4 linked regions of the Drosophila melanogaster genome follow. The gene in region 4 interacts genetically with the main gene of each other region. Each region holds a gene or a part of one and is shown on either strand. Other genes may lie near its edges. The genes, in order: stet, S, Sos and Krn.

Evidence for each region.
Region 1: of Krn (region 4) and stet, changing one suppresses a phenotype caused by changing the other (phenotypic suppression), as found in Drosophila melanogaster (one study listed by BioGRID).
Region 2: of Krn (region 4) and S, changing one enhances a phenotype caused by changing the other (phenotypic enhancement), as found in Drosophila melanogaster (one study listed by BioGRID).
Region 3: of Krn (region 4) and Sos, changing one suppresses a phenotype caused by changing the other (phenotypic suppression), as found in Drosophila melanogaster (one study listed by BioGRID).

The regions. Positions count from the first base shown.
Region 1 is NT_037436.4:1,485,545-1,492,215, forward strand, and holds the start of stet (stem cell tumor), read right to left. Parts: upstream 4,004-6,671; 5' UTR 3,908-4,003; intron 3,502-3,907; exon of another isoform or gene 3,362-3,501; intron 3,288-3,361; exon of another isoform or gene 3,195-3,287; intron 2,964-3,194; 5' UTR 2,873-2,963; coding exon 2,702-2,872; intron 2,647-2,701; coding exon 2,554-2,646; intron 2,486-2,553; coding exon 2,462-2,485; intron 2,392-2,461; coding exon 2,215-2,391; intron 1-2,214. Other genes in the region: CG12084 (uncharacterized protein), read right to left, coding at 6,210-6,374, 6,440-6,671.
Region 2 is NT_033779.5:1,073,949-1,080,317, reverse strand, and holds the start of S (star), read left to right. Parts: upstream 1-2,502; 5' UTR 2,503-3,483; intron 3,484-6,369. Other genes in the region: ast (asteroid), read right to left, coding at 1-1,197, 1,253-1,693, 1,750-2,283.
Region 3 is NT_033779.5:13,811,073-13,820,369, reverse strand, and holds Sos (Son of sevenless), read right to left. Parts: upstream 6,555-9,297; 5' UTR 6,157-6,554; coding exon 5,065-6,156; intron 5,012-5,064; coding exon 4,654-5,011; intron 4,592-4,653; coding exon 3,669-4,591; intron 3,605-3,668; coding exon 2,756-3,604; intron 2,694-2,755; coding exon 1,803-2,693; intron 1,735-1,802; coding exon 1,101-1,734; intron 1,036-1,100; coding exon 992-1,035; 3' UTR 546-991; downstream 1-545. Other genes in the region: CG16888 (uncharacterized protein), read left to right, coding at 7,136-7,645; CG16865 (uncharacterized protein), read right to left, coding at 7,736-7,891, 8,013-8,318, 8,384-8,544, 8,605-8,725; Adat1 (adenosine deaminase, tRNA-specific 1), read left to right, coding at 8,920-9,297. UniProt on the Drosophila melanogaster protein: Promotes the exchange of Ras-bound GDP by GTP. Functions in signaling pathways initiated by the sevenless and epidermal growth factor receptor tyrosine kinases; implies a role for the ras pathway in neuronal development.
Region 4 is NT_037436.4:17,648,296-17,657,080, forward strand, and holds Krn (keren), read right to left. Parts: upstream 5,986-8,785; 5' UTR 5,697-5,985; intron 2,332-5,696; 5' UTR 2,238-2,331; coding exon 1,584-2,237; 3' UTR 1,267-1,583; downstream 1-1,266. Other genes in the region: Ndfip (Nedd4 family interacting protein), read right to left, coding at 146-949; CG7484 (uncharacterized protein), read left to right, coding at 6,393-6,431, 6,487-6,605, 6,923-7,301.

The sequences.
Region 1 (6,671 bases), about 16 Mb from region 4:
CAGATTGCTGGCAAAGATATGAATGGCTCGCCAAGGCGAGAGAGAGAGAGAGAGAGAGAGACATAGAGGGAAACGGAGCCCTCAATTGGAATAACAAATGCATTAGCAGGCCAAACAAGGACCTAATAATGTCCTCGCCGGGGGAATGTGGAATGGAAATCCATTGTGCAAAGAATGGCCCGGGTCTCATCCGCAATTACCGTTAGGCACACACCCAAACCAAAGACACTAGAATAACAAGATGCGTAACGCCATACGATTTTTTGGCACACAATTTTTTGGCCGTGGCTCTAGAGGTGGCTCCAGGCTCTCTCGAATTTTTGTTAGAGAGCGAGAGAGCGAAGAGCGCTACAGCGAACCGCTCTTTTCTACGCATACAGTGATAGCAGACAACTTTATGTGTGCACACGTATGCTCATGCATTGTAAATTTGACAAAATATGCCCTTCACCGTAGAAGTTCTTAGACTTTAAATCTATATTATTTTTTATCAATTGGCACCATGCGAAAAATTCTTGTTTTGCATTGCCTTAACGTTATTATTATTTGAAAATAGATTAGAAAAAGCCAAATCTATGTACATATTATCACAAAAATCAATTTCAAACATGACTTTATATAAGAATATTTGTCATTAGAGTATTCATCTTGCGGCGTGTGAAAAATTAATAAGGCAATGATTGTTGAGTGCTTGTGTCCGCATTTCGTGCCTCAAGATATGAACAAAGCAAAGACACTAGAATAATTCTAGTGTCTTTGATATTACTTTTGCAATAAACAGTTATCATATTTAATTATTTAGTATATTTATTAAATCATTTGACCTAATATGATGTAACATTAACATTAAAAGTGTTTCAAAAAAATTATTTCGCTTTTAAAAAATTGTCAGATGAGAGACAAATTAGAATTAAACATAAATATAAATGTGTAAACGGTAGATAATTCGAGCGGCGATTTTAACAAACAAATTTAAACAGCTTTAAAATTATAATAAGAAGAGCGCGAATTTTTAAAAATTATTTTATTTCATCATATTGCTACGAAATTGGCAAAAAACTACCCTAATATGTACAATGTAAATTCATTTCTTTGATCAGAATTGATTTCGGCCCGAAAATCGTCTTCTAGCACAACACGCACACATATACGCGTTCTCGTCTCTTGTTTTTAACTCACACAAGCAAGCAAATTCTATTTTTAGATTTCTTATGTTCTCAGCGTGAGCGAGCGGAAAGAGAGCAATTTTGGCCGTCACCAAAAAAGTGGCTGCATAGTGCCAAACCAATGTATGGCCGTTACGCATCTTGTTATTCTAGTGTCTTTGCCCAAACTCACTCACACACTTACACACACACACACAGGGGCAAATGAGGACACGTCGGCCTGGCTAATTCATGACTTTAAGGACACTTTGGCAAACAATCGAACGGCCAAGGCGAAGGAATATTCACTGTGCAATTGATTATGCATGAGTGTTTTGTCGTGTGCGGTTTGTGTGCGTGCCAATCAACTGGGTAGAATCAATCAAAATGCAATAGGATTGCCCTGCCAATCAAAGGAAAAGCCGAGAAAAGCGCTTCATTCGCTCGCAGAAGTCACCTCTGCCGCCCACTCCCCTCCAGTTGCACAGCTCAAGTCCAAGGTAGTATTTTCGGACCACATCAGGACAAATAGCCAGTGCCCAGGTAACCAGGACAAACACTCAAATGCCTGGCCAAGCGTGGCGAAGGAAGCAAACGAGACGTGGGCTTACATACAGAAAAACTATGGTCTAACTTTTTCTACAATCGATGTCCTTGGTATATCCTTCAAATAACTTAATGCGCAGTGTATTTCATTCAAATACATTGCTGCTTCCGGAACAAGGTGTCCATAGGTACTAGCATAAAAGTAAGTAACCCCCTTTTATTCGCAGTGTAAGCGTAAGCGGCGCATTTATTTGCCAAGCGCACTTTTTGCATTTGCCAAACAAGAGTGCGGCTCCTGCCAGGACGAGGCCTTGTCCTCCGTCTGTTTGAACACGAGCCTACACTTTGGACCTCGTCCTGGGTGAGTACTTTGCACCTGTGTTTGCACTTAAATCGAGTTTGCCGTTGATGAGCAGCCCGGGACAAATATACGCATGGCATGGGTGCTTTGGGTACTTTGGTTACTTTGGTTACTTGGCCAGTGACCACCGGCGATTGTAATTGCGGCACACGGCACACTCACCACATTCACAAAGTCCTGGAACGTCACGTAGCCGGGTCCTGTGGGCAGCTTCGCCTTCTTTGCCCGCTCCAGCAGCAGCTCCCGCTTGTTCATAGGCACTTGGGACAGGAACTCCGGCGACTTGAGGGCCTCCAGGAATTCCTCGACTGATATTTCGCCAAAACCCTCGGGATCGAACTGCAAAGCGTGAAAAGTAATTATAAATAAGTATAATTATAAGTATTCCTTTTTGGGTTGGCTTACTCACCATGTCAAAGAGCAGTTTCCATTTCTGTAAGTAAAGTGAAGAAAGAAGGAATTATAATAAGTAATGTTCAGGATTTTCGTATTGGAACTCACATCTCTTAGTAGCTCCCGTCGCAGCTCGGCCTCATCGAAGTCCGAGTTCAGGGACGTGTGTTCCGTATCATAGCCGGCATCATTGGTGCATTGCTGCGGGTAATTAGAGTTAGAGATACGATCTTTACAAGCAACTCCGGCTCCTTACATAGCGCATTTGGGTGTGCGAGAGGGATCCAATGGAGGCAAGGGAGCCGGCAATGGTGGATATGTGCTCGATGTCGGCCAGAGTCTCCTGCTGACTACTACCGCCGGCATTTTGCTGGCTGGTTGGGATTTCCAGGGCCCGCGAGCTTCCTCGCTCGGAGCCGGGCCACATCCTGCTGTTCCTGGCTATCCAGATTTGGTTTTGGGATCAGGGCGGATCGTTGTGTTGTGGTTTGGCAGTGTTTGTAGCGATTAGAGTTCAGCTGCGGAAAAGTAATTATCAAGTATTATGCTCCGAACTTGTCTGTCCTTTTATTCCCCAATATTGTAGAAATTTAAATAATAATTTGAAACAAAAAAAGTAAATAGCTGTTATATATTTTTAAAATGTTTGTTTTCGAAATTCGCCAAGTGGATCCACTGTGCAGAGCTTTTCAATCTCTTTAACTCAAAAGCTCTTTTGGAGGCAGTTCAGTTTGAACGACATAAATTCCACCACCGATTTGGTCGAGTGCGCTGAGATGTCGATTCACGCGTGCTCACGTTTTTCGAGTGGCGGTTCGAGTGCCGCCGAGGTTGTGTCGAGATGAATAAAAAAAATAATTCATTCATTTCGTTTTCTTAAGAAAAGAAATTAAGATTTTCTGTTTGTTGGGGTTGGGGGGGCCTGTGAAATCAGTTTGTTGCAATTTGACGTTACTAGAATTGTTGCACTTTCCGCGGGCCCAGAGAGATACTTCCGGATAATCATAGGCTGCTGGTTTTCAATACCATAGTCTATTTCATGGCCGGCAAACAAATTTCCTTTTTGCTTTTGCCCTTTGTTTTGATTGCCAAGTCAACGGTTTGTTGTCGTTTTCCCTTATTTTCCGCTGATAAGAAGGTTATTGATCCTGCTGGAAATATAAGGCACACTGCGCAGAATCCGGCTGGCAAACAATTGTTTTGCATTTTGTTTACGCCTCGTCAATTGCCGGAACAATTTTGTTTTCATTTTGTTGAATTAAACTAGGCAATTGGCATTGATTGAATGGTTTTGTTAGCGAATGAATGGAATGCGCATTCTTCTCCTTCCATTGAAGGAGAATTGGCTTGATTGCTACCCCCCGTGTGTTTTGCTTTCTATTTGGTTCACAGGACTTTCTTGCTTGCGCTTCTCTGCTTGGCCTTTGGCTTTCTTTATTTCATTTATTTCACTTTTATTTACCGTTTTGCTTGCACCCGCGAACGCAAAACTATTGCACATTTACATCCAGGCAAAAACAAACACGCGAACTTTCCGCCGGCAAAATGACAACTGACCAAGGAGAGCTGCCAAAATTGAGAAGAGAGAGTGTCTCTCTGGGGGATGCAGGGGATTCGGATTCCCACGGCACATGCGCTCAGCTTGGAAAGCATTTCCAACCCGTTGGCATTTCCTTCCTCCCCTGCGCCCACCCACCCGCTCTGCGAGGGGGCGCATGACGCAATTCCAGAGCTGGCCACTCACACCCCCTAATGTTTACATACCCTGCACTTCGATAATAACAGCGGCTACGCACCCCACACCCCGCGACTTGCACCGTGGAATGCCAATGTTAAAATCATCACTAGTTTTCATACTAGTTAGTGATTCACTGCTGAAAACTTGATGAATGAAACTGCACGGGAGATGCAGCTTTATTGAAACTTACTCATATCACATACATATGATGAAGACAAAGCTCTGGTTGGCACACTCCACTCCACACTGTGCTACAAAGTTGCGATTGTGAAATGATGTTTTATGAATGAAGTCGAATTAATGAATGTATTTTGTAGAGCAAACTTTTAATTTGGAAAACTTTCTAGCCCTAAACTCAAAAAATCCGTTTTAAATATGATAAAAACAGATTTCTTAAATGTGTGATGCATTCATTCTTTAATGATGTCTAAAAAAAAATAATGATTTCAAATAGATAAGTTAAATGGAAGTTCCTGAGCTTTATTTGAGTAAGAGCTGTACCAAAATATTTTTAAAAATTACTTTAATCGATCAAAAGCAGAAATAATAAACTTAAGAAAAGTTCCACTGTAAGAATCGTGTGATTTTGGATGGTAAGGAAAGTGTAAGACCAAAGACCCTAGAATAACAAGATGCGTAACGCCATACGATTTTTTGGCACACGATTTTTTGGCCGTGGAACAAAGCAAAGACACTAGAATAATTCTATTGTCTTTGATATTACTTTTGCAATTTAATTTAATTGCATATTTAATTATTTAGTATATTTATTAAATCATTTGACTTAATATGATGTAACATTAACATTAAAAGTGTTTCAAAAAAATATTTCGCTTTTAAAAAATTGTCAGATGAGAGACAAATTAGAATTAAACATAAATATAAATGTGTAAACGGTAGCTAATTCAAGCGGCGATTTTAACAAACAAATTTAAAAAAGCTTTAAAATTATAATAGTCAGGGCGCGAATTTTTAAAAATTTTTTTATTTTATCATATTGCTAGGAAATTGGCAAAAACTACCCTAATATGTACCATGTAAATTCGTTTCTTCGATCAGAATTGATTTTGGCCCGAAAATCGTCTTCTAGCACAACACGCACACTTATACGCGTTCTCGTCTCTTGTTTTTACTCACACAAGCAAGCAAATTATATTTTTAGATTTCTTACGCTCTCAGCGGGAGTGAGCGGAAAGAGAGTAATTTTGGCCGTCACCAAAAAAGTGGCTGCATAGTGCCAAACCAATGTATGGCCGTTACGCATCTTGTTATTCTAGGGTCTTTGGTAAGACACAGGCGTGATGTCGCTTACGAATCAAATTATATATATGTATATACGTAATGTAAGGTAACTAATGGTAACGTACACTGTTATAAATATTAATGCCAAGCGCAGAACTTTCAAAACTGTTACTTGCAATATATTTACAGTTGCTTAAGCCTAGCCTAGTGGTCTAGATTATATAGCTAGATTATTTTGAACGATCCGATCCTGAACTTGCAGCTACTTGGGTTCGTGATGCGAAAGCACAGCAAATGTGGGGGGGTTAAGTGAGCATCGTATGATGACCACAATTCAAAGAACAGATTCCATACACTCGTCTATGTGGCTAGAGAAAGAACTATCGATCCACGGGGAATTCAATTCTTAAGGATTTATTTAATCTCCAGCAGCCTTGCTTGCTACTCCAATGTCTTCCTCTTTCCGGTTTTAACAATATTTACACTTCTGAAGGCCTAAAAAGATCGCTGGCTTACAACATGTGATACATCATATACATATATAATCTAGTAATTATGTAATTATCGAATATTTCTGCATCATTAGATTTAGTTGCTTAACTCTCGCATAGTTTAAACTTGCATCTATGTATCTGCTGCTCTCGCTGTAAACATAAAAGTCAAGGAAGAATCTCTTGAACCACATAACACATGCACTTGCTTTAAAACGGGAAACAGAGGAAGCAGAAAAAAAACATTACAACAAACTCGACTCCTAAAGCTACGTGTTATCCTAAATATCCGCTTAGCCGTCGACGACCATGCGTTCCGATCCGGAGTCGCACTGCTCTATGACCAGGCGAGCGATGCGCTTGATCTCGCAGTAGGGACTCTCGTGCTCGATTAGCTCGTTGAGGATCTGGATGCCGTTCTCCTGCTCCACCAGCTTGCAATATTTTTCGGGATAAACCTGTGACGGAATGCAGAAGTTAGTACACAATGCACCAACAATGGGAAAAGGAATTGCTCCCCCACCTGTGTCAGATTGGCCAGGGCCCAAACAGCCCAATGTTGGCACTGGGGCGTCTCGTAGCAGCGCACCAGGCTGAGGATCGGCTCAAAGCTGCGGTAGTTGATGTTCCGCTCGCTCTTGATGTTCCACCGCTGAATGGCGGCCACCATGCGCTCCAGCACGTGCTCCCGGCTGGGCGTCTTGATCGTCCAGGCATCCGCTCCGTCCGAGGCAATGTGCGCCAGCACTCCAGCC
Region 2 (6,369 bases), on a different chromosome or scaffold from region 4:
AGAATTTAGCCCATTGAGTTGGTAAACCACAGCCTGAAATTCAGCAAATGCGTGGATAACCGTGGTGGAGTACAAGTCAAACTTCTTTTTGAAGATCTCCTGCATATGGAAGTGCGGCAGTAGGCGTTCCTGAGTTAAATAGCAGTCCGATTTGGGTACATGAGCCATCCGATCTGGAACAGAAAGCTCTAGCAGAGCAGGTTTGATGCCGCGCTTAATTCCCTCGGCAGCTTCCTTATCCCTCACTGCTCGCTCTGCTTTCAATGTCTTGCCAAATCTTTTAAGGAAGGTTTTCACCTCTCGTTCAGCAGGGATTGTAACATCTATGGTTCGTAGGACAACCAAACTAAGGATCAGCGAGTGAAGATGCAGCAAATCACAGTGCTCCGAGCGATGTAACCAGTAGATAATGGCCAGAAAGTACAGCCTCAGGTCCTCCGGCAACTGGTCGAGCTTGCTGAACAACTTCTCCGTATCCGCATTGGGAGCATTGTCTTCGAATACAGCTCTTAAATGCCTAGCATCCGGCGAAAGAGGATCAAACGGATAGGCAGGCTTCTTTTCAATGGGCATCTTGAAATACCTCACGTTCGTCACTCGCAGAGCTCTGGTGAGGTAGGTGAGATAGGGGACTGTCGAACCCTCTATATCCATATCCACTTCTAATGGTAGCTCAATTTTCTCACACTCTACGTGATGGAGAAGAGCGAACACGTAGTTCAGGATGGGTAAGGCCACTTCATTGGAGTCGTGGAAGGGAAAGTGCTCGATCTGTGGGTTGTTGATGTACTTGCGCAGGTGCATAAGGTCCACGAAGCTGCGGGGCAGGTGCGCGGGATATAGTTTGTCCAGAAACCATTGTGGGAAGAGTAGCGTTTTGTCTTCCACTTCCAGCTCGAGGCCTTCATCCGCCTCCTCTTCTTCTTCATCACCCGAATCAACGTCTTGATTTTCTTCCTGCTGCTCCTCATCTTGGTTATCAGCTTCCTCCTGATCCTCGCCTTCTTCGACATCTGAAAATTTTTCATCGGAGCTAGACGAATGTTCATCGTCGCTGCATTCCTCTTCACTGACGGGTTCTATATAAGGAAAAGCATTCTCGTAGTGCTCATCGAAGTAATCGTAGGCGTGGCACAACTCGTTGGAGTAACCAGAGATGGCTGCATTCACTTGGGAGACCAGGGAATCACGCTGGTTCTGCAAGAATATTATTTTTAGCATAAATCGGAAAAAGATATCTCAAGCAACGAACCTTTTTCAGTCTCGACAGCACTTTAGCCAGAGCAGATTCCGCCGTTTCCTCCTTCAGCCATGTGAGGATGACCTGTATGCGCTTCTGCTGGAGCTTTAGTTTGCGACTTCGTCCTGCTTTGCCCATTCCCGCAGCAAAAAAGTTCTTGAAGGCACTGCGGGCAATATAGTCATTGCCCAGGAGGGCGGCAAAAAGGGGTAGCTTCTCGGGACTCAGAGTTCCTCGTCCGCAGAGATGGGACACCCGGTAGATGCAGCAGTCGAGGTACTTGTAGGTCTTGGAACTGCCTTTTGTACTGGCTGTCAGCCCTGTGGTTTGAATGCCAGTCACAATCTTGTTGGCCCTGGTGCGCTTCTTCACATTCTTGGCCTCGCAGTGACGTAGATCTCGACTGTCCTTCTGGTTGCTGCTGTTCTTGTCCTTCACCTGCTTGGTGAGAACCTGGGGTACATGGAATCGCTTAGTATATGCTGGAATCCAAATAACTTATGCCTTACCTTAACAGTCAGCGTGATCAGCGGGATGTACTTGACGTTGTGGATGTAGAAATCCGAGTCGTAGGAGAGCACTGGGCAGTTAAGTTTCCTGGCCAGAGCAGCCAACTCGTCGTCCGCCTCAAAGACGCACCTCATCACCGGGACTCCGCAGTCGCGCACAGCGTCCACGAAAACCTCCTTGAGGTGCAGCGGGAACAGCGTGATGGATGCATTGGGGTTTATCTTCTTGATCACGGAAATCTTGTTGCGCAGCCGGGTGCTAACGGTCCTCAGCTTGCGCTCCTCGTACCCGCCGTCCATGAGCACATAGGGCCGAATGTTGCACTCGGCCAGAACCTGGAAGAACTGCACCACGGCGCGGTAGAAGTCGTCGTAGTCGCCGCCGAAGGCGGAGTAGCTCCCGGTGACATCCTTGTACAGATTGCAGCTCAAGTTGTCGCCATCGATGACCAGCGCCGTGGAGTGCAGCTCGTGCGGCTTAAGGTAGATCTCCGCGCGCTGCGCTATGTAACTGGTCAGGCCGCGGACTCCCATTTTCCCGGCGCTTGCCTATTTTCCCAATTTTCTATTTACCTATTTTGCACAAACTTTAAAAGCGTGCTAATAGTGATGTCAGTTTGCAGTGCGATACTATCGATGTACATATCGATTCTTTAGCGTGGCCGTTCGCTGCCGTTTGGTATATATGAGCGATTAGTTTGGTATCTAGGGTATTTCCCGCAGCCGGATGGTATATTCCGGGGATGGCGCCGCGGTCACACTCTGTCCCGACAATTCCAACCCGACGCTTGTCTGCTCTCCACCCGCGCATCAAACGTCGAAAAATCGTAACGTCGCGAGTGCTACGCGGTGGCCAGGAGAAAAATTCGCCAGCAATAGCAACACTTGTACCGAAAATCTAAAGGAAACTGGGAAATGTACTAGCACAAACACAGCGAGTGCAGTGGAAACCGAAATCGCCATTGAATCGAAGAGCGCGTGCATATATACGGGTTCCGTTGGTTCCGTTCCGTTTCTTGTCGCTTTTCTTGCACACACTTTACCACTTTACCTTTGCGTCTCTCGTTTCGTGCGTGCGTGTGTGTGTGCGCGGAGTGTGGTGTGCGTGCGTGTGTGTTGTTTTTGTGTGTTCGTTTAACTAAAGCACAGGTAGAAGGAAAAGCAGCGGAAAAAAGAAAACCATGGGCGAAATATGCATATGAAATTAAGTAAATACAAGGCGACAGCAGCAGAAAACATCCAGTAGCAACGAGAAACAACAACAACAATAACACACGTTAATAACTCAGCTTTGTGCGTCTTTCGTCTGCGCTTCACATAGTATTATTTTTCTCTTGGATTTTCCACACAAAAACACCATGAGTGAGCGAGCGAGAGCGACGATCGTGATCACCGTGTCGTGAATGAATTTTTGTCAGTGTGTGCGAGGCGTGCTCTACGCACACACACACGTACGTAAACAACACAACCACACACGGCCCATCATCGATCACCAATCACCTGTGTGTGTGTGTGCGGCATTTAATAAATAATTGTGTGCAAATAAATGTTCCAAAAGGAAATTGTTAAGCCAAACCAGCAAAAAACGTAAATCAACCGTGCGATAATTCGTCCTAGAGTTGAAAAAAAAAGACGGTTCAAAAGCAAGTGCGTGTGTGCAGAGTTCTTCTGGTGTCTTGGGAGCTTCGTTTTACGGATACGAAACATATATAACTTCCCTCTTTGCCGAAAAAGGTGAGTTCAAAATCAGGGAAAAATCCCTTTCCCATTGGCCAAGGCCGTTCCGGGAAATCTGCGAGTGGTCTTGGCCCACGTTTCCTGTCTTCCGCACATTTTCACACGTCCTGCAATTGCAATTTTTTCCGATTTCCCAACTCTGCACCTCCTGTATGTTCGGCGATTCCCACGCCTCTTTTTTTCGGGGCAGGTATTCGCAGGTAGCGGAAAGAGGAAAAACCCTCGGGAAAGCCGATAAACTAGAGAAAACCTCTGTTGGTGGGCCGAAAAAACCAGAAAAAATAGAAGAATTGAAATGTTTTCCCTGGCTGCTGAAACAGAGAAAATCGGGCGAAATTAGGCACCCGCTGATTCCAGAAAATTGCTCGTATAATAGAAACATCTCACTGGGGGAGAAATAAATTATCGTTATTATCATCTGCAGTTGCAATTTGGCACAATTTCGATATGACTGTGCTCCCATTTGCCCGGCGATTATGTAATTTTCGCCGCTGTGCTCGAGAATCAGGTTCATTTTCCATATGAAAAAGGGGGCTTTGCTGCAGACATTGCATATATGCCGACGATCTGGCGACCACCGACAGTTGCCAGCAATTTCCGGCGCTTTTTGGCAACTGGAAATCGAGCACAAAAGTTCATCCCAGGGCTTAGAGAGCCGCAAAAGGCGTAGCCATCCATATTCACCCCATCCCAAACGCATTTCCCAATGTGGTTTATAGTTTTCCTACAGCTGTTGCGACTGCGATTTTAACGATTTTTACTGGTAATCCGGGGAGGAAGTGAAGTTCATAGCGGTTCGACCAGTTGATACCTCTTAATAAACTGTTTGTAGGGCATTTCTGAAAAGGAAATATTCCAAAGCGAGATTTGGTTAGTCTCAATCCTTAGAACAGCATTGCTCACTTCCTTACACAAGTGCATACTACCCTCGCATACCCTGTAATCAGTGGGCACCATAAAAAGAGTTTGAATTTCAAATAAAATCCACTCTCCGGCACACACACAAGTCCACTGGGGAGCAGCTGCTGTGTGTCTCTTTGTGCTTGGTCTCAAATGACACTTGCCAGCGCTGCTGCTGCATATAATTCCGAGTTCTGGGGAATTTCCTAGTAGGAAGTGCAGGGGCCACAGCGAAAACACCAGCAAGAGTCGCACTTGATGATTGTCTTGCCACGGCTATTGCCGTCCCACTCTGGAAACGTAAATAGAGAGGCCCGATAAAGAGCGGTCTCGAACTTCCCCCAGTTGTGTTGCCTCTAACCCAACTGAAACTGAGTGGAATCGAGGTTTTCTGGCGGCATAAAATTTGATAGCAATTAAGATATTTGTTAGAACTGTTTCTAATGTCACATGTGCTGCGTGTAGGAGTCTCATCCTGCACTATCTTGTTTTTCGCACTTGCCCCGTTCCCATTTCCCGGCTGGTACTCCAGTTACTTGCCGCAATTGACCAATTAAACAATTGTCTTTGATTAAATGTGCAAATTTGTCTAATGTTCTGCACTGCGCGTATGTGCAAAGCGGATGTGCCCGCTTAAAGCTGCGCTTAAATTGCCCGCGTAATTTGTCACTGATCTCACTTTCTCAATTGGCGATCTCTGATTTCTGAGATTCCTGATCTCTGCCTGGCCAATTAGGCGTCATTATGCGGCAGGCAAGAAGGCACCGTTAGATGGAGCCATTGCAACAGTGGCCAGAATAATAACAGCGACTAGGAAATAATGGCTAATGGCCTATACCTTTGCCCATCTAATGCTTCTTGACCTACAAGCCTCCACAGGCCTCTCGCGTTTCCTGCCCGCTTTCATTTACTGTTAATTATTGTTTAGAAAAGCGCGGGGGCGGGGGCCAATAATAATAAGAAGAAGAAAAAGCAGCAGCATTGGCCAATAAAAGCTTGCAAACAATTTCGAATTTCCAAATGGTTTGAAATGCAGCCCAGCTGGCAACAGAGGAAAAGAGGCAGCCAAATCAACCGAAAGGCAACACGGGGCCATAACAACAATCTTGCTCGCACATTCATAATAGGCGAAACAGAGGCGGCCAAAAAAGTAGGACTGTTTCGTACAAAAATATATAGTAGGATCTTAACGAAATGTAGTTTTCATAGGATCAAATGATAATGTACTGTGTTTATTCGCAACTGAAAAATACAAAATATTCTGACCAACTGTATTTTTAGATAACAGCAATATTTGTAACTACTCTATTATTCCGAGCCCTACTGTACGCATACACACACACACACACAGAATCAACAAATAAAGTAATTATTTCCTTTCACATGGCGAGCTACCTCCAAAATCGGAAAGACATAAAGAAGAATATAAAAAGCGGAGAAGCCCCAAGACCCAAAAATAAAATCCAACAAAATCCGCTGTCGGCGTCGATTCCTTTGTTGTTGTTTTGCTGCAGCGGTCCCAACACGTGCAATTGGGAGCGAGCGAGAGGGGGAGAGTAGGAGCGAAAAGAAACTAATAGGCCAGTAGTACGAATCGCAGAGGAGTGAGCAGTGCAGTGGCAATTTTGCATCGATCTCCCACTCAATGGGCAAAAAACGGAGCTCGAAGTTGTGAGTGACATGTGTGAGTGAGGCTCGAAGTGAATGAATGGCACAATCTGTGATTGATTCATGCACAACTAGATGACTAAATTCGCTTTCGGCCCATTCTTTCATATCCGTTAGCTGGCCACTCCTTTTGTCCAAGTTTGGTCAACCAAGTTGGCTCGCTCTTTTGCCATTTAATTGATTCATCCACACCAGCAGATATCTGAAATCTGAATCGATCCCAAAATGACACCCAATTTCACTGTTCTGTGAATGAATACGGTTTTTTTTATCACGTGTATGTGGGTGCGAGTGCGCCATCGTCTTACGTTGTAA
Region 3 (9,297 bases), on a different chromosome or scaffold from region 4:
CTTTTTGGGGACGGTGGCTGCTGCACACACATAACTCCCCCAAATAACTGACGATAAGGGGCTGGACACGAGCGTGAAAATACGAATATACAAATATACGAAAATAATTCAAAAAAACAACAACCGGTTCCCAGCGGCGAGCAGCCCAAAATTTCAGGAAGCATTTGTGCTCGACGTTCATGACGTTTTAGAAAAGCGAAAGTCAATCCGCGTTGTTTCCAATAAGCGAATGTGTGTGTCCAATTTAATTGCACCTAATGCAGTGAGACAACAATCGCTCTAGTTTTTCCTAACCCACCGAAACTAATTAGCCATATACACAATCTTAATAATGGCTGCGATTATGCTGGACACTGCGAGAATGTCAGGTGTGTTGCAGTCGGATGTCGGTTCACGTCGACTTCATCAAGGCCACTGGGCACATAAAGAATACCCACGATCTTTAAACGTTGGAAAAGCCTTGATAATCTATGCTATTTGCTCAGATTGCCTTGACTTTGGCTACAATACTCTATATTTCTGGTCATCGAAAGATGTCGCCAAGTGTCTAACAATAGGGTTATACTTTATTGTTTTACGTTCTACGATCAATACAATGTTCTCGATATTTACAAATATTTATAATAGTAATTATATAATAACATAATTTCTTGTTTGCATTTCTTGTTGGTTGCTTGGTTGCTTGCTTGGTTTGTGTGTCCTGCATTCCTATCCATATGCGCGTGCCTGTTGTGTGTAAATGAGAGCGTATTTTGTCTGTCTGTCTGTTCTACCTTGTTAAATGAGTGGCGAATAATCTAAATCAGCGGTTCCAACTCGTTTCATACTAGAATACATAAACTGCGCCTACGTATATATGTATATATATATATATATATCTCACGTTCCGTTCTCTCATATATATATCTGCACTCAAGCAGTGCTCGCAACTTTGAATCTTACGGATCATACTCGTAGTTTTCGTCCTTATCACATCGCCAGGCAATTTAAATTATTCTTCGTTTGTACTTGGGTAAAGAAACATCGTACCTTTATCTGCAAACGGATAGGATGGTTGGGTTAGGAAACACGTTATCACGGGCCGAGTTGGTAGCACTCACCTGGATTGTTATAGAAGTTAGCGCTTAGACTAGGTTTTGGTGGAAGTTTGGGTGTGCCCTCGAGGCTCGTGGCAATCGGAAAGAACTCCTTGGGGGACGAGCGCGACTGCGTCGGATTCGAATGGTGCTGGTGCGGATGGTGCGGCAGATGGGTGGCATGATGTTGATGGTGCTGCGAGTAGATCGCTGGATGCGTCTGCTGCTGCTGCTGCTGCCGCATTCGCAGTTGGTGGGCATAGCTGCTCGACGTGCTCTCCACCGGATGGCTGGGAATGTTGGGAGACATGGGCGACATGGCGGGTGTCAGCGGTGATGTGGTCGTCGAGGAGCTTGCCGCTGGCGAGATCGGTAGCGGCAGCGGTTCGTCCGTCGCCACTGCCTGCGACACGGTCACTAGTGTCGTGCTGATGGGTCCCGCCGCCGCCTGGTTTGGCTGGCTAGTTGCCGCTGCCCGCTTCTCGATCGCCGAGTTGCGGCGTATCATAATACTGCTGGTGTTGGGCAGGAGCAGACTGCTGTTGCCCACAAACTCCTTGCTCTTGCCGTGGCTTTGTCGCAAGTAGCTGATGCCCGTGGAATGGTTGAGCCGTGGCGGTATCGGCGGCGGACTGAGTTCGCCATCACGCGGGGGTAACTGCAAGGATACGTAAAATGATTGCTGTCATCTGCTACTACAAATTAGAAGTAAGTGAGGCTACTTACTGTGGGTGCGTCTGGCGCCTGACGCTTTTGCGCCATGTCCGCACAGCTCTCAGTGCGCTCCTTGCGTCTGGGTGGCAGTGGAGGCGGCACTGCTCGGTACTCCATATTGGTGGCCATCGGAACGTTGACATGCGGCGAGATGGGCACTGCCCCCGGCTGTCCCTGATGGGCACTGTTAAAGTAGAATCCACCCGCGCAGAATTCCTCCCCGCCCGATGTAGACATGCCTGTAAGGGTCACGGTACTGGCAGTGCTATGCGTTGGGCTGTTCTGCATGCGCCCATGGAATGGTGATCGATTGCCGGTTTCGTGACGCGGACTGACCACTAGCTTGGGCAGCGGCGACGGTGGAGCTTCCGTGTCCGATGCGAATGGATTGCTGTCCGGCAGGGACTGCGGTGGCAGATGCTCCGGCAGCGCTGGACTGAACACAACATCCATTGCCGACGCACTGGCCAGTGTCGAGTTGTTGTTAGCCCAGACATGCGCGCCCGGTTTCTTGGGGAGATGTGGCGCCGGCACCGAAACCTCCCCGTTGTTCTGGTCCGTTCGAGTGTGCTGTGGCGTTCCACTCCAGCTGCTGGTGTTCCGTTCGGGTATAATAACAGGGGCGAAAACGGAGAAAGCGTGCGGATTGTGCTGCGGACTTTGCTCGCCAGCGAGAGTTCCAGATCCAGCATTAGCTGCTGCTGCTGTTGGCGCATCCATTATGCTGGAGGCGTGCAAAGATGGCGCCGATGCCGTAGCTATTGAGGTGGCCGTTGACGATGCTGCCGCTGCCGCCGCCACGGACGACGTGCTGTTCGACAGCTTGCTACTGCTGTTGGTCTGATTCTGGCGACGCGGCTTGATGCCCGGCGATTTGAGCGGAATGTGCGGCCATTTTCGAGGCTACGAAAGGAAAATGGTTAAATTTCCTATATGACTTGTAAACTTTGAAGCATTATACTTACGAATTTCGGCACTGTCTTGCAGCCCCTTGGCTCAATGCGCAGGCTTTCGTTATAGAGATAGTCGGACATCTGTTTGTCGGACAGTCCGTTAAACGGATCCAGTTGCTCGAAGAACTGTCGTATTGTGGACTCCTCGTTGAGGCAGTATGGCTGGTTCTGGTACTGTTGAATCTCGCCAATAATCTCGGCCACTTTCCGTCGTTTGGAAAAGTTAATTAGCTCTGTGTTGGCTAGCAGGTCGGGGTTACCCTCCTCCAAGTGGAGTATGTTGGTCAAGTAGCGACCGAAAAATGGCACACAAGGCGGATTGATGGATCGCAATCGCTCCTGATACTTTTTGAGATGATCGTCGCTGAGCTCGCGGCATTCCTCCAAGAATTTTCTGTAGCGTTCGGGCAATCCCTGGAATGTCCACCGCAGTCGATAAACAGATGCCGTGCCCATAGCCGCGACAATCGAGAGGATTCCATTAAAATTGTTCAATTCCAGCATCACCATCATCACTTCGATTGCGCGTTGCATAATAGCCAGGCGTTCCTCGTAGTTCTCCGCTTCGGTGATGGATTTTTCAATCCAGCGGGTGACGTTCGTGGTGTGCTTCATTATCTTCAGTAGATTAGGGCTCTTCACCTCCTTGTCCTTTTTCGTCCAGGGTGATCCGACCAACTCAGACGGCTTTACATTCTTGTACATCTCGAATTCCAGTAGAGTGAGCTGACGGGCCAGTTCCAGTGGGTGCAGGGTGAGGAGCGTTATCTCGTCGTTGGGTACACTAAGGTGATGCTCAATGGGCGGCGGATCGTGGCCATAGGCGTATACAATCTTTTTATTGCTTTTCTCCTGCTCGTTCTGTAAATAATATTTGAAAAATGATAACGATACTTCCACATTATGCTGTTGACCAACTACTCACCTTTCTCTGAACAATCTTAAGCACGGAATCCACCCACTTGCGCATCGATTTGCCATTCACGTGCTCCAGAAAGTTCAGCAGCTTCTCCAGCAACATGGGATCCTTCTCGAAATCGTAAAAATGATGGTCGACCCAATGGCGCAGTACGTTGAGCACTCGAAACTGCACTGGCTGCACGTACTCCTTGCGATATCGTTTCCAGTCCTCGCGATGCGAGTTCTTGTGCTCCTTGTCACCGCCAACGCCGCCCATTCCACCCGCACCTGCTGTGCCCGTGTCTTGATAGACCAGGCTGGGATCCGGTATGTTAAAGCGTTCCACCAGCAGTTGCAGCAATTGCTGCGGCGAGCAGAAGTAGCGATATGTGGTGAGGAAGGTGCGCACAAAAGTCGGATCGGCGTAGATGTGATAGGTGAGGCGCTCGATTAGCTTGCAAAGCGTCGCTCCCTTGATCATCGGCACTCCTGCGCTTTCGCGCTCCTCCAACACGATATTGTCACCGCTGTCCGGCACCGCGAACTTGTAAATCTCCGGACTGGGCATCCGCAGCGGATGCTTTCGCTCGATGTCTTGCAATATGCTGTCCAAGTGCCGGTCCAGCATCGACTTGGTGATAACCATCAGCAGGTCTGCCATCCAGTCGTGCTTGTGCTGTGCATTCTTGGCGGTCAGCACAATGGGCGGCTGCATCCGGGGTGCCAACTCAAAACTGTTCTTCAGATCATCGCTGTCCGGTCGATCGTTGATATCCACGCGTCGCATGAAATACTTCTCCTTCAGTCGGTAGTCGTAGGCCGTTGCTCCTGCCGATGGTGTTTGTTTCTTGGTGTTTGCCTTGCATAGCACCATTAGCCCGTCGAAGAGGAATACCTTGCGCTCGCTCCAGATTCGTTTTCCCGATCCAAGTTTGCTCAGCGAATCCTCTGTAAATTTGAAATACCATTTTAGTTGGAGGATGCAAGTAACTTTCGTTGCCAGCACTTACCGCGAATAAATTCATTGCAATTCTGGCCCACGTCCTTGTCCTCCCAGTGCTCCACCTTCATTTGGAGCTCCCGTGTCCGCTCGATTGCCAGCTGGCGGCGCACTCGACCGCTAACCGGAACTTGTCGCTCCTTGGACAGGCTGGCCATTACCTTTTCGAGATCGCAGTGGAGTGGATGCAACAGTCCCTGTACCTGTTCGAAGCTCTCGATGTCGTCCTGCGAAGAGCTGAGATCCTTGAGATGCTTGATGTAGTCGAAATACACGAAGGCATGGCAAATGGGCACCAGAAGCAGCTTGGGCAAATAGTATTTGACCGCATCGCGGAAGCCATGGCCGGCTGTGGTCAGAGATGAGGCCTAAAAGCAGGGATTTTAGTAGAATTCTTCGCACAGAAGGTATCAATACTTACCCCTGGCTTAGACAGGAGATTGTTGAGAGCATCCCGTGAGGCCTGCGAGGTAACGTCGTAGGCGTACTTCTTGTACACATCGAACTCCTCGGCCTCGGCCAGTTCCTCAAAGCAGCTACCGACGCAGGGGGCACTCTGCTCCTGGGACATCTCGATGACGTCCTCCAGGGAGCCGAGCAGAGTGACCGTCACCTCGTAAATGTCCATTATGTTGGAGAATATCGGTTCCAGCTCGCGCGGATCGGACACGATCTTCACCAGCTCCTCACGAAAGACGCGTATGATCATGTGCAGGTCGCGTTGGTACTGCTTCTCGTCGTGGATCAGCTCCTTGACCGTCTCCTCGTAGGTGGCACTTGCACGCTGCGCGGGAAGTGACAGGGGACTGGGCAGGATGTGGGCTTCGCTCTGGTTGAGCATGTCCATTAGCACACGATCGGCGTTCATCACCACCTCGATGTCCTCCTTGGTGATCTCGCAGTGGGCGATCTTGATCACATAGTCGCCGGCCATTTTGAGTATGTCCGCTGAGATGTACTCGAGCACGGCCACCAGGAAGGCGGACACGGAGCTATCGATCTTGTACTGCAACACATCCTTCTGGAGCAGCGTGTGCACCTTTTCCGTGGGCAGGACAGACTTGCGTTTCTTCGAGTTGATCACCTCCTTGGCCTCGTTCAGGGCCCACTGATCGATGGGCGCTGGAAAGGACTTGTTCACCTTCTCCTCCACATCCTGCACGGAATGGGGCAGCGGCTTGGCGCACAGCATGGCCAGAAGCCGCAGACAGAGTTTCTCCACATACAGCAGTGCGTCCTCCTTGGCGGTAACCCGTGGATGCACTTGCTCCAGCACCTTCTTTAGCGATGGCGTAAACAAGCCCCTCCATCTCGCAGCATTCTCGCACTTGGTGAAGTCATAGCCATCGCAATCCTGCAGCCCAGCCACGCCACCGCCGCCAATGCCAATACCACCGCCTCCGCCCTGTGAGCCACTACCACTACCACCGCTGCCGCCGCCGCCTCCAGTGCCCAGACCGATCCCGCCCCCGTAGCTAATGGTGTGGGCATGGCCGCTGGGCCCCGAGAACATTCTGTGCGCCGTGGAGTAGCCGACGAGAGCCTGCCGTGGAGCACCTTCGTTGGCCGCCTGCCCTCCGCCTCCCCGCCCGCTGTGTTGTGCACTGAATCCAGCGACGAGTGGAGTGGAGCGGAACCTGGAAACTGGAAACCTGGAACCGTGGGGCACCTGGCACAGCCGGATCACCCGGGCGAACGTCGCATGGCAGTCACACACACTCAAGCGCACGCACTGAACTCGTTTCGAATCTTGAACGGGGCTCGCGCGTCCGTTTCGTTTGCAAATCGCTTGGGCTTCAGCACTTGTTTTCAGAATATGTATCTTCGATATATATATGTATAATATAATCTTCAACTCAATATAATATTTTTCGCGGTGTGACCAGAGTGCGGCACTGCCTAAATCCAGTAAATGCTCGCGACCAGCCCTGATTCGATGCTTAAGAATGTACTAAAAAATCCAATGTAGAGAGCATTCGTGTTGAATGGCTTTTTTAGCAGAAGAAGAAGCATTTTGAATTTAAATTGCAACGAGCAGGTTTAAAATATATTATAATTTACCCAAAAAAAATGAATTTAATTATCTCTTCAATGTTTATATTTCAAGAAATTTATATTTATATTTATAAAATGTCTTTCCTTATCTAAAATCGTAAGGAGATATGCAACATACATATCGACTCATCCCTTATTTTACTTGGATAATGTAAGATACATCCGCTTTCAACGCTTCTAAATCGAAAACAAGTACAATGTGTTCAGTTGAAACAATTAAACATATGAAAGCAATGCAATGCAACAGAATACAAAAACCAAAAACAGTTAGGGAGCTAGCTTCCAGAAGTCGAAGCTTCTATACCCTCGTATAATTATATATTTGAAAAACAATCCATCCAAAAACCATAACTATACGGTATATAGTATACATATACACATATATGTACACTTTTACTTTGTTGTCAAATTTTCAGTGTATAATACTTCAGGTTTCAATGTCCGCTTATAGATTGAGTTGCATCGGGAACGCGGAATGGGGACCCCATACCTCCAATCGTTCCAGCTCACTATTCAACTCGGAGGCCATCGAACAGTTGCGCGATAAGTGGACCCACTTCTTTTTTAACCTGCCAAAGGCGCCTCTCGAATTGCAGCTGGCCAAAGCCCGAGCGAATCGTGCACTCGAGCTGGTCAGGAGCAAGGAGAAGGCTGCTTTGGAACGGACCGAATCCTCGCCAAGAAGTAAGTGCCGTCCACTCACTGCTCTGCACAACTCGCCGCGTACCACGAATCGAATGAAGCTGATCATGGAGACTCGCGTGCGTCCAGCGATCGTCAAAAAGTCAAAGTCGGAGTACAATCTATGTCCCAGTTGTGGGCTTGTCAAGGACTCGATTCTCAATCACCAGCACGCCGAGCAGCGACTGAAGAAGCTACTGGCACAGCATCCCAGTTTGCTGCCAAAACGACAGCATAGAAGGTCAAACTATTTGCGTATGCTATAACTAGATAAATTGCAATTTTTCTTCCAAGAATGCCAGCCATTTGTGTCGTCAAATATATTTAGTTGTGGGTAATAAGGAGGCAGAGTGTGACTATCTTTCCAGTAGCGTGCCGCGCTGCTTCTTCTGCGGCGGAGGTGCGTCCTCTGTCTTGGTTTTGATGCCCACATCGCTCAATTTTCCGCCTTTGCGCTGCAGTTGCTTCTCGATAATCCTTGCGTTGTTCGCATAGCTGTCTGCGATCTCGCGCTGTTTGAATGAACAAAAAAAATGGTTAGTTTGAAAGAGTTGTAGGTTTGTTCGTAGATGATGCAATGATAGATTGGATTTCCTGCACCATTTACAAACCAACTTTAGCTGACAAACTTACCGCCTCGATTTCATCCTCCTCCTCGTCGATGGTAGACACCGTGACCGAGCTGAACTTGCCCATGTTCTTCGTGTGTCTGGTGACGACGACCTTCTTGCCACTGGCATCCACAATACCCGAATCGTCTGGACCGGCGGAAGTCGCTGGCTTGGCAGCCGGTGCCTTGAAACTGCCCTTGATCTCCGAATTCAGCAGCTGTGTGAGAGGACTCTCACCCTTGTTGCGGATTAGGGCATTGGACATGACGAAGGTTACGTGGGAGTCGGGACTGTGGCGATAGTAAAGCGGCAGACTGCAGCTTCGGCACTGAAGGTTAAAGGAAAACATTAGGTGAACTAATGACGGGTAAGGAGTGGAAGTCAGCTACTCACCTTGTAGCGGTACTGCTTCTCGATCCCATTGCCCCTGCTCTTGCGTTTGATGTAGACCATCCTCGGTGTGGGATTGTGGGTGAGTTTGTTGGCATGGTCGTTGGCGTTTATCACACGGGCGTTGTCCACCTCTCGTAGCGGCAACTGTTCGAGGGTGCAATCTGTAGGATAGGCAAACATGATGTACTATGCTTTCAGTTAGTTGGCTCCAGTAATCTTACCCAGAATCAGAGCCATCTTGTTGCACAGACAGTAGTAAATGTTTAGCGGCTTTTCCTCGTTGTACTCCTCCTGATCCTTGGTATCGGAGCAGACGATACTGCGCGACACTACTTTGGGCATGGTTATTTGTGGGTTTCGGACTTATGAAACTTATAAAATTAAAGTAATTTCCTATTTCATTAAACACCGCAAGTAAATAAATAAACAGTGAGACCAGAGTGTGCAAGCAAAAGGTAAACAATGCAACACGCCAATCGATATTGCTATTCGATTACCGAACTTATCGGTTCGCACATTTGCGAATATAAACAAAAATGTGTGATAACAAAAAACCGACTGTTAAGGAAATTGCGGAACTTTGTTTAAAAAAATTCGAGTCCTTGCCAAAAACAGGAAAGCCCACAGCCAATCAATGGACAATTTTGGCGGGAATCGTGGAGTTCAACCGGAACACGGAAGCATGTCAACTAGTTTCGCTTGGATGCGGAACAAAGTGCATTGGAGAATCCAAACTTTGTCCCAATGGCCTCATCCTGAATGATTCCCATGCCGAGGTGCTGGCACGTCGTGGATTTCTTCGCTTTCTATACCAGGAGCTCAAGCAGGATAGAATCTTTCATTGGAACAGCACGCTAAGTACGTACGACATGGATGAGCACGTGGAGTTCCACTTTCTGAGCACACAAACGCCT
Region 4 (8,785 bases):
CTCTGCAAAATAAGTTCGCGTTGATTTTTCGTGTGCTGGGTCTGGGGAATAGAGGGTGTTGGGATCGGTTGGTTGGTAGCATTCGAGCCTCCTAGCCACCCACAACGTATTTACAAGACGACCACTGGAAAGCCTCCAGGTGCACCTAGTAAAAGAATAGCAGCCGTTCCTGGGCAGAGGCGGAAAGGAGGCGCCACGATCGCTTGATGCTGACATACTGTATTAAAGCGCGTATGCTGATCAGGAAGCCAAAGGCACAGATCAGCCACCAGAGCCAGGAGTTTTCGTGCGAGGCCAAGTCCGTCGAGTGCTTCACGATCAGCGTCCATTTAGCCAGCGACAATCCGAATCCCGACAATGCTCCATATCGGGCGGCGATTGTGTGACAGAAACAGGTGAGCATCAGGAAGCCGATCCAGTTAAACAAAAAGGCCACAATGAAGGCCGTGATGAACATGATGTCCGTGCCGAGCAAGTTGTCGGTGGTGGACAGACTATTTTCCGGATCGCTGGCATCGATGGCGATGAACGTGAGTGCCGGCTGGGCAGATCGCACAGCAGCGGCTCCATCGCGCAGCGGATTTGGCGGCAGTAGCGGATTCGGCGGCGGCGGTAGCTGCTGCGAGGAGGGTAAAGTCAAAAAGGCGGGCGGCAGCTCTCCGTTCAGCGACTTTTCCATTTGAACCTCCTCGTACGTGGGCAACTTCCCGTGTATTTCTGGCGGCAGTTGTGCATTCATAAGGTCCGCCTGGCTCGGCAGCTGCACTTGCATCTGTATCGGGATCTGACTGGGATCGGGTGTGGCCAAGGCCAGCGGTGGCATCTGAGCCGGCAGTGCTACCTGCTGGCCATGGCCAACGTTCGCCTCGTACGGTGGCGGAGCACTGAAGTCCGCCTTTGGCGGTCCCAACTGATCATCCCCGGGAGACGGCTGGTTGTTGTGCGGCATGACTGGAAATTACAAACGGAAAACGGGAAAATTAATTCAGTGCTTAAGGGGTTACAAAGCATATGAATTTTTTTGACAGCCTAAGGTGACGTCTCAGAAAAGAAGATTCTTAAGAAATTCTTTTCTTTCTTACATACTAAATTTAAGATATCCTTATTTTCGTGTAGCTTAACAGATCAACTGTTTAGTATTTACATGCATCTCTGAAATAAAAGGAAAATCAAGGCCATGGTGAATTTTGTGCAAACTATTCCCAATCAAATTCTAAAGGTATTCGAAATTTGCATTATCTAAATTGAAAGTAAAGCTGGTGATTTAGTTCTCGCTTTTATTGACGATATTAGTTCACGCGTTTTTTTTTTTAATAAAATTAGGTGTATAATAAATAAATGGGCGGCTAGCTGCCAAAATTGCATTGAATTATATCTAGATTTATTTTTATCTCTCTCTGAGCAATCAGTTTTCGTTCGTTAATACTTGATCTAAATGTGTTATAGGCACGTCAGTAGGCACTTAGAACTACGGCATTCGCCATCTCAATCAGATGGCAAAAATAATAGTTTCGTTTAGCAGTTAAAATAAACAGTTGGACATGTTAGACATTTAAAAACAAATGAGCAGCCAGGCTAATTAGTTAGCGCAAAAGTTCGTTGCAATGCCTGGGGCGATTGGAGGCTTTCGCTTGAAGGTGGGCCTCCTCCAGCGATAGGATGCGGCAGGGTCCAAAGGGACGTCTCACTGGACGTAAGGGTCGCAAGCCATCCACCTCGTCCATGCCCTCGTTCTGACAGCCACCGTCGGTCGTTGTGGTTGTGGTGCTGTCGTGCAGCTTTTGTTTTTGCAGCTTCTCGTGTCGCAGATACAAAACCACACAGCACATGGCCATAAACAGAAGGGCCAGCGTTGCTCCGCTAACAATGCTGGCCTTCTCTAGCATCACACGGTTCCTGGTTGGCAGGTACGAGCCATCAATCTCCTTGTACTCGCACCTCGGACCCATAAATCCCAGCGCACATTCGCAGTTGTATAGGATTTCATTGTGGATCTTCACCGTAAAGCAGGTGCCATCGTTCAGGCAATACCAGGCGACATAGGTCGGTGGACAGGCGAAGATCGGGAAGGTGACATTCGGTCTCGGCGTTGTGGATATTTCCACATTATCCGGCGGCAGGATCGGTGCAGCTGTTGGCCGCGGCTTAGCGATGGCACGCGAGGAACAGGCGGCGGTGAGCGGTAGGTAAGCGCCGATTAAAGCGGTGGCAAGCAGCAGCAGATCCTGGGCTCGCATCTTGATCTTAACTCATGGCAGCTTACTTGGGAATGTGGCAATGCAGTTTAAGGTGTTTTGTAATGTGGAATTCTTGGCTTTGGCTGGCAGGCGGCTGCAAAACAAAAACGAAGTGCAATTAAAAACAAATCAAAAATGTAAGCTCGTGTTCGGGTCTGTGTGGGTTAATTGCCTGCCTAGCACCGCCAGCCGCCTCCTTCTCACAATTACAACCTATGCTCCTCGACCTAAGTGAGAACGAGAAACAGAAAATCGAATTTCATAAATTTTTAACAAAAAAATGACATCGTTTATTTACCTGGCCGGAATCGCGAGCGGAACCCAAGCGGCTGTGGCATTTGCACAGCCTGCATTCATTATCAATTGGTTTTTCTGTTTACACTCTCACTTAACATAGCGAACACTTCAGGCACTTCAATATATAAAAACTGTTTAATACAAGATGTATTTAAACGTATAAAAAATTGATTTAACCTTAGGATTTCGAAACGCCTTGTTATAAACAAGATCTTTTCCGGAGAAAGAATGAGCTTCATTAGAATGTAACTGATCCCGTTGCGTATATAAACAAAATAATTCGAATGATCAACAGAAACAACGATGTTGAGTAATTCTGCTGAAACAAATACATCATTTGTAAGCAACATTTGAGTGGCGACCATTTGAGTGGGCGTAAAAAACATAAACAAATTAGTGCTCGCCTTAGTTGTGATCCACAATAACAGTGTCGTTTTCAGAAACACTAATTTTCGGAATTCCACTTAACGTAAATTAAAACTTTCTAAGTGCTTTCAATAAACGCTAGTCATGCCAACTTAACTGTCTAAATTTATATTAGGAAATATGTCAGTGAAATTGAACTATTTTTTTATTCAAACATGCAATATTACATTATTAATCAAAACTAAAGTTATATTCTTCTACTTGGAAGTGAAGGAAAGAAGAGCGAAACAGTTGCAATTATAATAAATATACACTTCGTTTTAAAAAGTTTTGCTTTCGTCACCTGTTTGGATGTTAGCACATTAAATCTAATATTTGTACTTTATTTCAAACAGTCAATTATATATAAGATAGCATTTAGCTTTTATTTTCTAGGACTCTCGTCACTAGTCGGAATCTCAATCCACAGTCGCGAGTCCTTGGACTAAACCGTGTCCAATTGCTTTGTAAAGCTCAACGGAGCCCTAAGCCCCATAAAATTTCCCCTTTCCTCCCATCACATGTGTGGCACGCACCTACGTCTAAAAATAACAACAACAAAGCTCACGAGTGAAAGTTGACAGCTGAAATGGCAGGAGAAGAGTGCGAGTGCGAGTGCGAGTAGGACAGTGCGACAGTCGCAAAACACAAATGCAATTAAGATGACCTTTCGGTCAATTGAAATATAAACGGAGCCAAACGAGCAAAACAAAAATAGTTCAAGCCAATAAAGAAACTGCGTGAGTGGGCTTAAGTTGGCCCTAATTTCTGCGAGTGCATATATGGGTTTTTTGTATAGTTTTTTTTTATATCTGTGGGTATGTGGGTGAGCCGGACGTAAGCTTGAATAATGAGCTAATAGGCGCCAACGAGCTAAATGAGCACCTGGTGGCTTATCAAAAATTGACCTCACAAACAGCAGAGTACACAGAAATAAATTTTGATATCATATATGATATGATTTTTGTATCAGAATACAAAAGACTTTGGTTTCATATGCACTCAATAATTACTTTTGTATACACACTTTAAAATACTTCAATAAATATAGGAAAACATAAACAGTACTATTTGTATAATTAAATTTAGAGGTGTCCAATTTTTTTCGTGCGCAGGAATATCTAAAATCACAGTCAACACAGAGAAACCGTATTGATAAGGTGACAAATACCATCCACAGGTGCGGAAAGCAAGTGGATGCTAGGCAGTAATTACAGTTACCTGTGGATGAGTCAGATGTGCGGGCATTTGAAAAATTGCAAAATTGCACGAAACCGAGAGATTGCACATTGTACAGTTGAACTTATCTGCGTTTTGCCAATACATTTGGTAATATCATTTTAAATAAGACTCTATAGTGACACACAAAGATTTGGAGGATTTCACAATCAATCCCAATGTAAAGCGACTTTGCTCATTCTTATTTTTTAAGAATTCACTAACAATCGGGCTCAAGTACACTTATCGTTAACATGCTTCAAAGCTGGCATATAATTATTTTCAATGTAATATATACATATAAAAACTTAGGTAAGGTTCTCTGGAAAATACACTGGTTTTTCCATTGAAAAACAATAGATGTTTAAACCGAATAAATCGATTTGCTTTTAATGCGTATGCATTCGGCTAAAAATAATTTTTGAATCTTTAAAATAAATAGAAAAGCTTTTACATTTCTAAATGTCAACACATATGGAATTACCTTTGAAACAGATGAGAAATTTTGTGCAAAATATATACATATTTTTTTTTAATAATTCCATCTGGATTTGTAATTCCAAAAGTGTTTTTGTATCTAACAATATACAGTATTAAAAAAACAGTATTTGGTATCTATAGAATAATATGTGGTTTGTCATAGCCAAGTTTTACTGCGTATGCGTGTATGTAAAAATAGGATTGGAGAGGGAGTTAGAGCTCTCGAGAGGGAGAAAGCAACAGGGCCGTGACAAAAGGCGTTGGAAATTAGGGAATTGCCGTGGAAAAGTAACAACGCAGTTTGGGCCAGGTTTTGGGTTTCAGCCGGAGTTTGTTCGGTGATAAGAAATTTGAGCGCGTGGACAGCTGCCAAGCAGCAGGTGTGCGCAAGGGAGAGGGCGATAGAGGAGGCATCAGTGGAATAAAGCATAAAGTAAACCAGTTAAACGGGACCGGGAGCACAAGAGAGAGGATGAAGATGCAAGCGGAAGAAGCTGAAGAAGATGCAGATGGAGCTGTCTGAATGGAAGGTCTCTCAAGGGGCAATTTCCTGGATTGAATGAAAAACACACAGGCACCGACAGCTGCAGTGGTATTGCAGTGGAATAGAGAAAGAATAAGATTAGGAGCGAAGAGGGGAGGCGGTCGACTGCGAGAACGAGTTTCCAAGCAAACGGCGCTTGTTGTTATTGTACAAGGGCAAATGAATTAATTTACTTGAGTAAATATGAATTAAATAAACAAGTACACCGACACAGGGGTAGACTTATCGGAGTGTGCACTTTTTTTTTTAGCGTTTAGCACCTGAGTGGCGAAATCTAGCAGAATTAAGATTATTAATGTGCTAAACAAAACATAAACACATGTACACACACAAACGCACAACTGGGGCTAAAGTGCTGAGGAGGGGGAGAGAGAGCCTTAAATCTCCAGGAGTGCTCCTGTAACGGTTATTTGTTTCCCTTTCTTCGCCCTTTCTTTTCACGTCTATTTCTGTACCCGATTTTAATTCGATTTGATTCTAGTTCGCCTTTTCTATGCCATGTTCTATTTATTCACCTTGTTTTCTTCTATGCGTTGGTCGATTGCGATTGCGTTCGCTTTTCTCTTTTGCGCAGCGCTCTCTCACGTTTCCGTTTTATTGATTTTGTTCGAATTTTGTTGACTTGTTGTTGCCAAACACGCACACAGCTAATACTGTTGGTTTTTTGGCAGAACTGCGACAGTAGGCGTTTCGCTTTCAAGTGGCTTCACTATACGCAATTTAAATAATTTAAAACTGGGCTCACTTCGCGAGCGAAGCGAAAAAAACAAATGCACCACCACGAATAATCTTCGATTTCTGAGCTAGTGGTGGCCAGCTGCTGGGCAGTCCGTATCGATTGTAGGGATGTAAGCGTGATAAGCTATCGAATCACATGAAATTAGTTATTAACATCGGAAAATAAACTTGCGTACTTGAATATAAAAACCTGAAATTATTTTGTACACTTTTATAGTGACAAAAGTTTCAAATTGCTGAAAAAATATCAAGAAATAATAATAATAAGTTTATTAAAGCTGTTCAAAAGTTTGATTAATTGTCTAATTCATAAACAGTATACGGAATACCCTAAACGATGAAAAGACAAGCAACCCGAATATAATCGATAAGCCTAAATAATGTTATTTTCCCTTCTACTCATCACTAAGCTAAGAAAATTTTGTAAACAACGACGTGGACGTAGTAAATTTAATTAGAATTTAGCCACAAAAATGCATAAATGTGCTATATTTCTTCTACTGGCTTTAAGTGTAAGTTATGTCTGAAGCTAAGACATGTTTTTAATATATATTTTATACCCTACAGTGCCAGCAAATTCAAGCCGAATTGACGGCCGCCGACTGCCGGGCGTTGGGTTTTATTAAGGCCCAGTTAATGTGTTCCAGTTGCGAAAAACTGGATGATTTCGGATTGGATACCATCAAGTGGGTTCAATAACATTTAATTAATCTAGCTTTGGAGTTGTAAAGATACCCATGAACTATGCTATAATCATTCCATAAGAAGACCTGAAAATTGTTTAATTAATATGTTAATCTAATTAGATCAGGTTAAATTTCATACCTCATTTTAAATATTCCAACCAAAAATGCTTAGCTTGACTTAGTAAGCTCCTCCATACCACTGACTAAATATGATTCTTCCTTCAGTTTTTAATAACAAAAATTATATTAACTTTTTATAGTTTCTGCTTGAGCCCATTGCTCTTTTTTATTCATCCAAAACATTTTTAACATTTCAGGCCTCAGTGTAAGCAATGCTGCACTTTGGATCAGCAGCCGGCGGCACAGCGGACATATGCCAAGGCAATTCTGGAGGTGTGCACCTGCAAATTCCGGGCCTATCCGCAGATTCAGGCCTTTATTCAAAGCGGCCGACCTGCCAAGTTCCCCAACCTGCAGATCAAATACGTAAGAGGACTGGATCCCGTGGTTAAGCTCCTAGATGCCAGTGGCAAAGTGCAGGAGACGTTGTCCATAACCAAGTGGAACACAGACACTGTCGAGGAGTTCTTCGAAACGCATCTGGCCAAGGATGGTGCCGGCAAGAATTCGTACAGCGTGGTGGAGGATGCCGATGGAGATGACGATGAAGATTACCTGCGAACCAACAGGATCTAAAATAAGCATACCCAAAACTGTAGATTAATAAAATCCGAAACAAAACTATAGACCGTACCATTTTCTTTCAAAATCATTGAATATTTATATTTTGTTAAATATATTCTGTTCAAGAACTAAAAATGTGTAGACGTGAGATTAGTACTCCAAACTTCTGGGATGTCAAGCCACTGAATTTAAAAAATATAAACATCAAGATCAGGGATATACATAAAATTGGCTTGTAATATGAGAGATCTAATCTAACTAAAGAGATTTAGTTTTTAAAAGTTTTTAGAGCCACTGCAAGGTGGCGTGAGCTTTTCTACGCGCCACCGCGGAAAAGCTGTGGACACAGTTTGAGAGTAACTGACAAGCCAGTTACTGCAATGCGACGCCGTGGGAGTTTTCGATTCATAAGTATAAATTAAATCATTTTATTTGTTATCTTGTTATCGATGGCAAAGGAAAGTTCCCGGCTGAGGCAACAAATTCGCGGCATTGTAGCCGAAATTCTTATCGCAAAGACATCACACCACACCACACCCCCCCCCCCCCTTTGTGGCCGTCAGCAGTGACGTAGTGGGCTCACATGGTGGGGGTCCTCAAGTCGATCAATATTTGATCAGCCTGCTGGAGTAATTGTGGTAACTGAAACGGCAAACAGCATATTTCTGCCCGCCAAAATCGTAGCTGATGTCTATTTCCGATCTGTGACGCAGCCTTGACATCGCCGTCTTTCCGCTCTCTTAATCTTGTTTTTATCCGGATACCGCGCATGATCAAACAGTTCCTAAGTCAACCATATATTCATATAATAATGAGATCGGTGCTCTTAGAAAATATCACCAAAAAGTAGTGACAATTTAATAATAATGTCTTGCCTAACACTTTTACCTTAATAACTACTTTCTACTTTGGAATACTTGGATCAAATGTTTTTAAAGTGACATGAACTGCAATGTTTGATATCCTGACAAAGGGAGATATTTATTAAATTTATTCAAGTTGGGCTTGGAAGATCTAAACTGTGAAAAGCTTAAAATATTGTACAATGTGGATTATTTTATAGCTGACCTCCATAAAAATGTCTTAAATATAAATAGTATTGCAACGTGCAGTTTATTTGGATGCGATGAATATAAACAAATACAAGAGTATTTATGCAAGTAAACGTCTAGCTTTATTAGCATTTTGAAAAATGCATTACAAATTCTATGATGCTCCTACAACTGATTACAGCATCACAAATTCGAAGAGCAAATAATATTGTTTATAGGCCCACCGCACTATCGCCTGTTTACGTTTCATTACAAGTATACACTGATATGCATTATTAATTCTTATTTGCTGTCCTTGTTGTTAGTTATTGCAATTTAAGGCGGCTACAATGGGCTGTGGTACCTCGTCATCGAGAGTTTGGCGAATGTTCCATCGTCCTTGCACCACTGTGATGGACCCTTTATCAACGCTGCCCTTGAAGGGACTTGCAGCCAGTACGCGTG